Linked DNA regions of Arabidopsis thaliana. The protein of the gene in region 2 interacts with the protein of the main gene of each other region in a pairwise test. Each region holds a gene or a part of one and is shown on either strand. Other genes may lie near its edges.

Evidence for each region. Proteins that work in one complex are often made in the same cells at the same time.
Region 1: the proteins of BBX13 (region 2) and NF-YB1 interact in a two-hybrid assay, tested with the Arabidopsis thaliana proteins (one study listed by BioGRID).

Annotation. Positions count from the first base shown.
Region 1 is NC_003071.7:16,236,450-16,241,290, forward strand, and holds NF-YB1 (nuclear factor Y, subunit B1), read left to right. Parts: upstream 1-2,042; 5' UTR 2,043-2,136; intron 2,137-2,228; 5' UTR 2,229-2,235; coding exon 2,236-2,435; intron 2,436-3,131; coding exon 3,132-3,265; coding exon of another isoform or gene 3,266-3,393; exon of another isoform or gene 3,394-3,530; coding exon 3,531-3,601; intron 3,602-3,689; coding exon 3,690-3,770; coding exon of another isoform or gene 3,771-3,776; exon of another isoform or gene 3,777-3,858; coding exon 3,859-3,867; 3' UTR 3,868-3,911; exon of another isoform or gene 3,912-4,125; 3' UTR 4,126-4,332; downstream 4,333-4,841. Other genes in the region: AT2G38870 (Serine protease inhibitor, potato inhibitor I-type family protein), read right to left, coding at 97-290, 583-601; AT2G38890 (uncharacterized protein), read left to right, coding at 4,646-4,676, 4,756-4,841. UniProt on the Arabidopsis thaliana protein: Component of the NF-Y/HAP transcription factor complex. The NF-Y complex stimulates the transcription of various genes by recognizing and binding to a CCAAT motif in promoters.
Region 2 is NC_003070.9:9,774,965-9,779,708, reverse strand, and holds BBX13 (B-box type zinc finger protein with CCT domain-containing protein), read left to right. Parts: upstream 1-1,665; 5' UTR 1,666-2,051; coding exon 2,052-2,837; intron 2,838-3,028; coding exon 3,029-3,196; intron 3,197-3,480; coding exon 3,481-3,725; intron 3,726-3,838; coding exon 3,839-3,941; 3' UTR 3,942-4,187; downstream 4,188-4,744. Other genes in the region: AT1G28060 (Pre-mRNA-splicing factor 3), read right to left, coding at 66-542.

The sequences.
Region 1 (4,841 bases), on a different chromosome or scaffold from region 2:
TATGAAGGCAAACGATTATTATTTTACATGATTGATTACTAACCAACCACGACTCGTCTATAGCTTTTTCATTATGAATATAGAAATTATACAAGTCTAGCCGGATTTGGGGGTTTTGACGACGATACGGTTTCCATCAACAAAAACTCTGACCCGGTCGCACCTGAAGTCTGCGGTCACCGGACTCCCATCCAAAATCACGGCAGCATTGACGGTGGGGTTCTCTCTCTCTATCACCACGGCCGCATAGTCACCATTTGTTCCCGTAAGCTCCGGCCACGAGTTCTTCCCTGCGATCACGTTACGTTAGATCGGTCAATCATTTACGTTTGGGATTTTGGAGATCAAGAAGCTCATATTTGAGTAAATGAAAACAAAAGAACTAGAAACATCACCATGGATTGACCATATGTAACATAATTAACCTTCTAACAGACTTTAGAAAATGTAATCATATATGTTATAGCTATTGAATTACAATTTTAAATGCCTTGAATCCATATCTAATTGAACATTAGCTAACTATTTACAAACATATAAAACTTTAATTATGAACTATACAATACAAATACAAAAACTTACTAGGACATTCGGTCGACATTTTTCTTCACTCTTGTATATATTTATGTAGTCTTCTGATGTATTTGTATGCTCACCTTTAGAGATTTGAGTCCCATTTATAGAATCGGATACGTACGTTACGTCTTGGTGTCGGTGTCGTCGGTGAGGTTGCAGATTCAAAAGTCAAACTTTGACGAAACCAGCTTTTAATAGCCCCTTCGTTGACATTATTAATTTGTTTGGTAAAAGCTTTGACACTTCTGATTTTGTTTTATAAAGCTTTGAAATGTACATATTTATATCACGATGTTCAAACCTTATCGAGAACAAGATAAGGTTTCTAAGGCTAAGATAATGTCGAAATTTGAAAAACAAACGAAGGTGAAAAATATTTCTAGCGTCGACTGAATTCTGTTTGCATGCAAAAAAACGCTTCTGCCAAATTTGGCACTTAGCCGACAAAAATGACCAAACTGTCCTTCATAAAATTCATGTATAAAAATACTATAATCAATTGTTGTCACACACACAAACAACGATAATGTCAATTATGTTGAATTGTTGACGTACATAAAATTTGACAAACAACATCACAACTTAGTCATATAGTTTTTTTTTTGTTCCCGTTTGATAATCTTGTCATATAGTTAATATTCAATTTGATATGTATATACAGTTTAAAACACGTATATACAGTTCAACTTAGTCATAGTTTTTCTTTTGGTCTGTTTAAGATTGGTAAAAGCACGTATCCGGAATAAAGATTTAGGTATTAATTGGTAACAACTCTATATGCGGGTTTCGAACAAAATTACAAAATCACATATTATATGAGACCAAGTCACCATCACACTTAAATATTTGTGGTTGAGAATTAATTAGTGTTTAGTTTTGTGTATGTTTCACACTGCCCAATGTTACAAACTTGTGTGTGTCAAGAAGACGAGGCCGCCTGAAAACAAAACATGTAAGCCCATTGAAACAGACACCAAAAGACATATGGTCTATAAGCCTCTCCTTGTGCTGGAGCTGGACACAAATTCTTTAAGACCGAGGTTTTCAAACGTAGGCCCAAATAAATAGAACCAAATCCAGTTAGAAGCCCAATAAAATGTTAATTACTTATCTTTGTATTTTAATTTTTGTTCTTTAAAGTTTAGGATTTTTTACATAAGTAAAAGAATTTGTTCTTTAGGCACTTTGAATCCACATTGTCGTTGGTATTGTTATTAGAGTATCTTAATTTTCTATGATTTATTTACGTAGATAATTCATTGAAAAATTAAATGAATTTATGTTTAAATTCTCATCTAATTATTATACAATAGATTGAAAAAGTCACCCTTAGTCAAATTGTTCATATAGTTTTCTTAAATTGTCTAATTAATTACCAAATTAATCCTTGTCTGAAAACTTTTACAAAAGCTAATACAGAACAAATACAAAAAAACGTGTAATCATATCATATAAACACCAGTCGCAGCGTTTCGTAGAAAAATTCGATTTCTCTAAAGCCCTAAAACTAAAACGACTATCCCCAATTCCAAGTTCTAGGGTTTCCATCTTCCCCAATCTGTACGCCATTTTCGATTTCCTTTTTTGTTGTTTACTTTAGCTTCATCGACCATGTTTAGGTTTCAAATTGAGTGTTTGTTCTGTTTCTGTAGAGTATAAATGGCGGATACGCCTTCGAGCCCAGCTGGAGATGGCGGAGAAAGCGGCGGTTCCGTTAGGGAGCAGGATCGATACCTTCCTATAGCTAATATCAGCAGGATCATGAAGAAAGCGTTGCCTCCTAATGGTAAGATTGGAAAAGATGCTAAGGATACAGTTCAGGAATGCGTCTCTGAGTTCATCAGCTTCATCACTAGCGAGTATGCATTCCCAATTTTTCTTCTTTCAATCGAATTTGTTGGAAAATATTTTGCTCTTTGGTGAAAAAAATTGATCATTTGTTGGAACTTTGGGTTTGTGAGAGATAGTTTTCTTAAACTAGCTATGGATTGAGTTTAGCTCAGAGAGTTTTTTGAAGTTTATAGAGCAAAGATTATGTTTTTTTTTTTGTCACAATGTTAATCAACCATTGTTTGGTATGGGTTTACCTTAACCTAGTTCCTTTCCTATAGACCATTTTGCAGATTATTTCACATGCTTCTACTGTGTTATATCTTAACTCTGTCAAATAAATTGTTAGATTTTTTTCTTCATTTAACCATCTTAGGGTATAAAAGCCGTATCTTGATCATGTTTCAAAGATTCTTTTATCTTTAGGATCTGTTTGTTTTTGTTCCTTTTTGTTCATTTAAGGCAAAAGATATGTTTTTCATCATGAAGGAATTGCTTGTGTTGAATGCGTTTTAGGTCTCTGATTGATGAGTTTTATGTTTCTTATAACATCAGATGCCCCCGTTCTTTGTTAGGAAGAAATAAGTTATCATGTATGAAACTATGATTTATCTATTGGTTCAAGATAAGCTTGTCTGATGTTGCGCTTAAGTCTCTTTTGCTGGTCTTATGTTGATTCGTTGACTGTAATGGCCAATTGACTGGTATCTGTTTCTGCTAATCAGGGCCAGTGATAAGTGTCAAAAAGAGAAAAGGAAAACTGTGAATGGTGATGATTTGTTGTGGGCAATGGCAACATTAGGATTTGAGGATTACCTGGAACCTCTAAAGATATACCTAGCGAGGTACAGGGAGGTATGTTGCTTTGACTCCCTAATCATGTGTTCTGAAATCCTTAATATCCTAGTCAAGAGATTAGTAGCTGTGAGTAACATCGAAGCTTGCCATGATAGCAGTTTTACAATCCCTTCAATACGTCTTGTGTAGAATTTTTGAAGCAAGAAAGATAAATCTAGACCAACAGTCAGGATGCATATTAGTAAATTTTGAAAGACATTTATTACTCTCTCTTTTGTGCTTTTGTTGTTAACATACATAATAAAATCAAAATGTTTCTTATTAAGTTGAGACTAATTCGGTTCTTTTCATTCCCTGGGATTGGTTGCTGACACACCACCTGCTGATGCAGTTGGAGGTAAATAAACCACATACTTATTTCTACTTTATATTCCATTCCAGTGTTGCCCATTGGCTTCTTACGTTTTGTTGTGAAATTATGATAGGGTGATAATAAGGGATCAGGAAAGAGTGGAGATGGATCAAATAGAGATGCTGGTGGCGGTGTTTCTGGTGAAGAAATGCCGGTATGATTTTGACAAGTATAGATGATACCAATGCTATACAGCCTATATTGTACTTAGCTCTGACTTCATCATTTTGATTCAATCACAGAGCTGGTAAAAGAAGTTGCAAGTAGTGATTAAGAACAATCGCCAAATGATCAAGTAATTCTTCTCTCTATCACACGGCCTCATGTACACAAATGAAGAGCATAGTCTATATGCATGTAGGTTCATATCCAATCTTCACTTCGTTACAACTGATGATAGTAGGACATGCCTTGTAAACTTGCTGATCATGTTATATTTTGCTGTGTGAATGAACTATGGCTAGTTTCAAAATTGTTTGTCTAACGTGAAATTCTCTAAAACGGTGCAGGGGAAATTAGAGATCAGTGAGTTGTTTATAGTTGAGCTGATCGACAACTATTTCGGGTTTACTCTCAATTTCGGTTATGTTAGTTTGAACGTTTGGTTTATTGTTTCCGGTTTAGTTGGTTGTATTTAAAGATTTCTCTGTTAGATGTTGAGAACACTTGAATGAAGGAAAAATTTGTCCACATCCTGTTGTTATTTTCGATTCACTTTCGGAATTTCATAGCTAATTTATTCTCATTTAATACAAAATCCTTAAATTAAATTTGTACAGTACCTTTGTTTTGGGTATAGACAATTACATTTTAAGTCAGTTGATCTGTATCAAATACTACACTTACAAAATCACAAAGTAAAGGCAGCAATTAATTTTGCTTTGAATTGAAAAGCTTTGAGAGAGTAATCAAATGCTTAAATCACGAAAACTTACAAATTTCAAAATTTTGTCTCTCCATAAATTCTCTTAATAAAGGCTGTTGTTTTTCCAATTTGAAAATTCTATTTTTCAAAATCAAGAACAGGCTATGGAATTTCAAGAAGCTGGTTCATCATCAAGTAGAATCATCTTCCTCTGTTTCCTCTCCTATCTAAAATCTCTTTAGTCTTCAGAAACTGATTATACTTTGTGCAGCAGCAAGAGTAAAGATTGACTTTGTGCAGCCGATGGCACACAAAGAGAGCAAATGGAACCATCGCAAAAGCTTGGCCTGGGACACTGCT
Region 2 (4,744 bases):
GGTAATCATGAACAAATCGCAAGTAGCAAACAAAGAAGATTAACGAAAAGGTATAAAGAACTCACCATCGTAACGCCACTGGTTGGATTCGTAGCCCCAGAACCCTCAGAGACTTGAGCATCTTTGTTCTCAACTTCAATAGCCACATCCTCAAACCTGCTCCTCCTCTCACCATTCCCATCAGCAAACCTAGATTTCTTCTTCCCATCCCTAGCCCCATTCTCTTCCTCTCTATCTTTCCTCTTGCTCCTCGATTCCTTCTCTTTACTACCTTCGTGAGACCTCTCATGGTGATGCTTTTCCCTATCTCTACTCCCTTCTCTCTCGCCTCGCTCTACAGATCTCCCTCTTCTATCCTTGGTCCTATCTCTCTCATCTTCCCTATCGCCGCGCCTCGATGAACGGTAGTGATCTGAATCACGACGCTTCGAATCAACATCGCGGTCACGGCGGCGTCCTCCTTCACGTTGTGGAGAATGGTCGGGACTCGAATCTCGATCACGATCGTCACGGTGGCTCCTGGAATATCTCTCCTTATCCATGGCAGAATTTAGGGTTTATTCCTAACAACAATTTGCTTCTGATTCGCCGGTCCTATAAATATACGAAAATTCACAACCGGAATAAACCAGCGATTCAGATTAGAACCAAAACGACCAGCGAAACCAAGTTCTGAATCAGATTTTTGTTCCTTCCGGAAAAATCCTAAAGGGAGCGAAACGATACCGGATCCGGAAGATATATAATCCAATCACCGGACTACAAGCTTCCCTTATGGGCTGAAGCCCATTTTTGAGTTCCTTCTTGAGATAGTTCTTCAATTTTGAGTCTAATGGGCTTTTATATCATCTTTTACTTAAAAAAAAAAAAATCGACGATTCATCTTCTATAGAGATATATGAAAATTCAAGCTATTTATCTTTAAAAAGAAAAATATTTGATGTCAGGTCGCAGTTTTCTTACAAGCAGAAATCCAAACTCTTCATACCAACTATTTTTGGAATAAACAAGATTTCTTTGCCAAGAGTTTTCATACCAACTATTTTTTGGATAAATAAGATTTCTTTGCCAAGAGATTTCCACAAGTTGACCACAAATTAAACATTCGATCAAAACTCAAGAATTCAAATATAGAAGTATATAACGCATATATTCCGCTTTGACTCAAAAAAGAAAAAACCCGCTCATATACTGTATTATGTATAGTCTGAATCACAAACTCTCTAACACGTGAAATTTAATGCGTTAGTCAAGAATCGTTCCGATTGTTACCACTCCCCAGGAACTTTTTCAAGATATTTATACCTCAGAATGATAGCACTTTACAAATAAGTTATACTTTTTTTCAAAACAAAAAAAAACAACTTATTGAAGTCTATGGACAAAAAGAAAATATCTAACATGAATCCTAAAATATCTTTACGATTTTAATTTTATCACATCTTTTGTCAAGAACTCGTGTGTAGCAGTTTATTATGCACATAAATATATGCTATACATTACGCTGCAATGTTCGTAAATACTAGTTCCAGAAAAAGACGATTCCAGCCGTTATTACACTGATCAAAAAGTTATTGCTATATACGGAAAGAATTAATCCCATAAAAATCATGTGCTTTGAACTAACTTTCCCTTTATACGTTAAAATAGATATTTAGGTGAAAAAGCAGATTAGATATTTTCTCTTAGATTCTCTGTCACAGTCAACGTAAGCTTCGCCGTCTGAACAATGGCGACTCTCTCAGCACGCTTTTACACCGTCAGATCTCAACATATCTCAATCTGAACAATCCATCATACACAAGTTCCATACATCGCAACACAGAAAAACAAATCCCTAACCCCAAACTGTTTACAATAATTAGCTTCGTTGTCTTCTTCATTCCAAAAGATTTGCAGATAATTTTGACAAAGCCCCCCAAAAAAAAAAAGAGTTCAAAATGAAAAACGTGAGAAATGGATTTGTCATCATTCTTCTCACCGTCCTTAGTCTCTGAAAATAAATTCTGATTTTGATTTCGAATTTTAGGGATTTTGAGAGAGAGTCAGTTATGAGTAGTTCGGAGAGAGTACCGTGCGATTTCTGCGGCGAGCGTACGGCGGTTTTGTTTTGTAGAGCCGATACGGCGAAGCTGTGTTTGCCTTGTGATCAGCAAGTTCACACGGCGAATCTGTTGTCGAGGAAGCACGTGCGATCTCAGATCTGCGATAATTGCGGTAACGAGCCAGTCTCTGTTCGGTGTTTCACCGATAATCTGATTTTGTGTCAGGAGTGTGATTGGGATGTTCACGGAAGTTGTTCAGTTTCCGATGCTCATGTTCGATCCGCCGTGGAAGGTTTTTCCGGTTGTCCATCGGCGTTGGAGCTTGCTGCTTTATGGGGACTTGATTTGGAGCAAGGGAGGAAAGATGAAGAGAATCAAGTTCCGATGATGGCGATGATGATGGATAATTTCGGGATGCAGTTGGATTCTTGGGTTTTGGGATCTAATGAATTGATTGTTCCCAGCGATACGACGTTTAAGAAGCGTGGATCTTGTGGATCTAGTTGTGGGAGGTATAAGCAGGTATTGTGTAAGCAGCTTGAGGAGTTGCTTAAGAGTGGTGTTGTCGGTGGTGATGGCGATGATGGTGATCGTGACCGTGATTGTGACCGTGAGGGTGCTTGTGATGGAGATGGAGATGGAGAAGCAGGAGAGGGGCTTATGGTTCCGGAGATGTCAGAGAGATTGAAATGGTCAAGAGATGTTGAGGAGATCAATGGTGGCGGAGGAGGAGGAGTTAACCAGCAGTGGAATGCTACTACTACTAATCCTAGTGGTGGCCAGAGTTCTCAGGTTTTGCTTATCTCTCTTTTGATTTTTTTGGCTAAGAACAGTTTAGTTTTTTCTGTTAATGAGCAAGTGAGATTAAGTGGTGAAATGTTTTTGTGTAAGGTCAAATATAGTCACTCTGTGTGGTTTTATGGTTTCTCAAGAAGATAAAAAAATGAAAGGTTTCTTAACCTGTGTTGTGAACTTGTATACAGATATGGGATTTTAACTTGGGACAGTCACGGGGACCTGAGGATACGAGTCGAGTGGAAGCTGCATATGTAGGGAAAGGTGCTGCTTCTTCATTCACAATCAACAATTTTGTTGACCATATGAATGAAACTTGTTCCACTAATGTGAAAGGTGTCAAAGAGATTAAAAAGGTAATAGTTCTCATTAACCTTAGTCATTTAAGTAGAGTAGTGTTTAAAACACAATACGTTGTCATCTCCCGTTCATCCTCAAAAATTGTTGTAGACAGTTGCTTCTTTTAGTGAATGATAGAATTCAGAACATGAAACCTAGTCAGAAAAAAGTTACAAGCTGGTTTGCTTTTCTTTGTTTTACCTCATCACCAAGCCACCAATTCTAACATTTTGGCTTATGATATATATTTGCTAGACTGCTATGCAACTTAACTGTGATGCTGATTAGGATTCTTTTGCAGGATGACTACAAGCGATCAACTTCAGGCCAGGTACAACCAACAAAATCTGAGAGCAACAATCGTCCAATTACCTTTGGCTCTGAGAAAGGTTCGAACTCCTCCAGTGACTTGCATTTCACAGAGCATATTGCTGGAACTAGTTGTAAGACCACAAGACTAGTTGCAACTAAGGCTGATCTGGAGCGGCTGGCTCAGAACAGAGGAGATGCAATGCAGCGTTACAAGGAAAAGAGGAAGACACGGAGGTAAATGCTGCTTTTTTCTTTCCCCTTTAATAATTTTTTATTGCCCATCTCCCTTAAAGAATCTGATACCATATTTCGTTTCTCCCTTTGTCTTGGATCTCGGGTGCCAACAGATATGATAAGACCATAAGGTATGAATCGAGGAAGGCAAGAGCTGACACTAGGTTGCGTGTCAGAGGCAGATTTGTGAAAGCTAGTGAAGCTCCTTACCCTTAACCTTAAGTCTCTTCACATAGGCTTCCTTTTAGCTACAAACTTAGTTACTTTTTTTACTTCCACTGCCTCATAAATGTACAGACCGGTCTCGTTTCATCTGGCCGCCCTTCTGTTTTATTGCCTTATCTGGCCCTTTTATGTACCTTGGAATCTTATCTAGTTTAAAAAAGATTGTAACCTTCTAGAAAACCATATTCTGTTGACAGTATATACATGTCTATCCAAGCATTTTGAAGTCTCACAAGCTAATACGCCTTGATACTCTTTGTTTTAAAAACCCTGACTTATGGCTGTTAATCAAAGTTTTCCAAGTCCAGTTCGCAGATGGCGAGCGGATCTGCGGCTGTGGTTCTTCGTTGCTGTTTCTTTGGTGGTTCTGGCTGTGTTGGCCAATTCAGAAGGTATAAATCTCCCTACTTAAAGAGTTACTCACAGGCGAAATTCCACAATCAGTTTATTCTAGTGTATAATACATGTAGTGGATGTTGTATAATGTTTATGCTTGAATGTCATATAGCTCTGCAGACGTGGGATCCGATGCAGGTGACAATTCTTCTTAAAAGACAACTAATTCTCTGACTTTCCTCTTAGTGACTATAAGAATAGACCAATTCTCTATTAAATTTTTCGTTTAACAATTCCCTCAATCAAGAATTCTCTTCTCTGTATTTCTCCTCTCCATCTTTATCTTACCTCTCCGAAACGCCTTGAACCCTCAAAAATGTCCTTCATCCTACTCGGATTCATATCTTAATAAATGTGAACCACTTGGAATCCCCATTCGTTTTCCTTTCTGCGGCAAT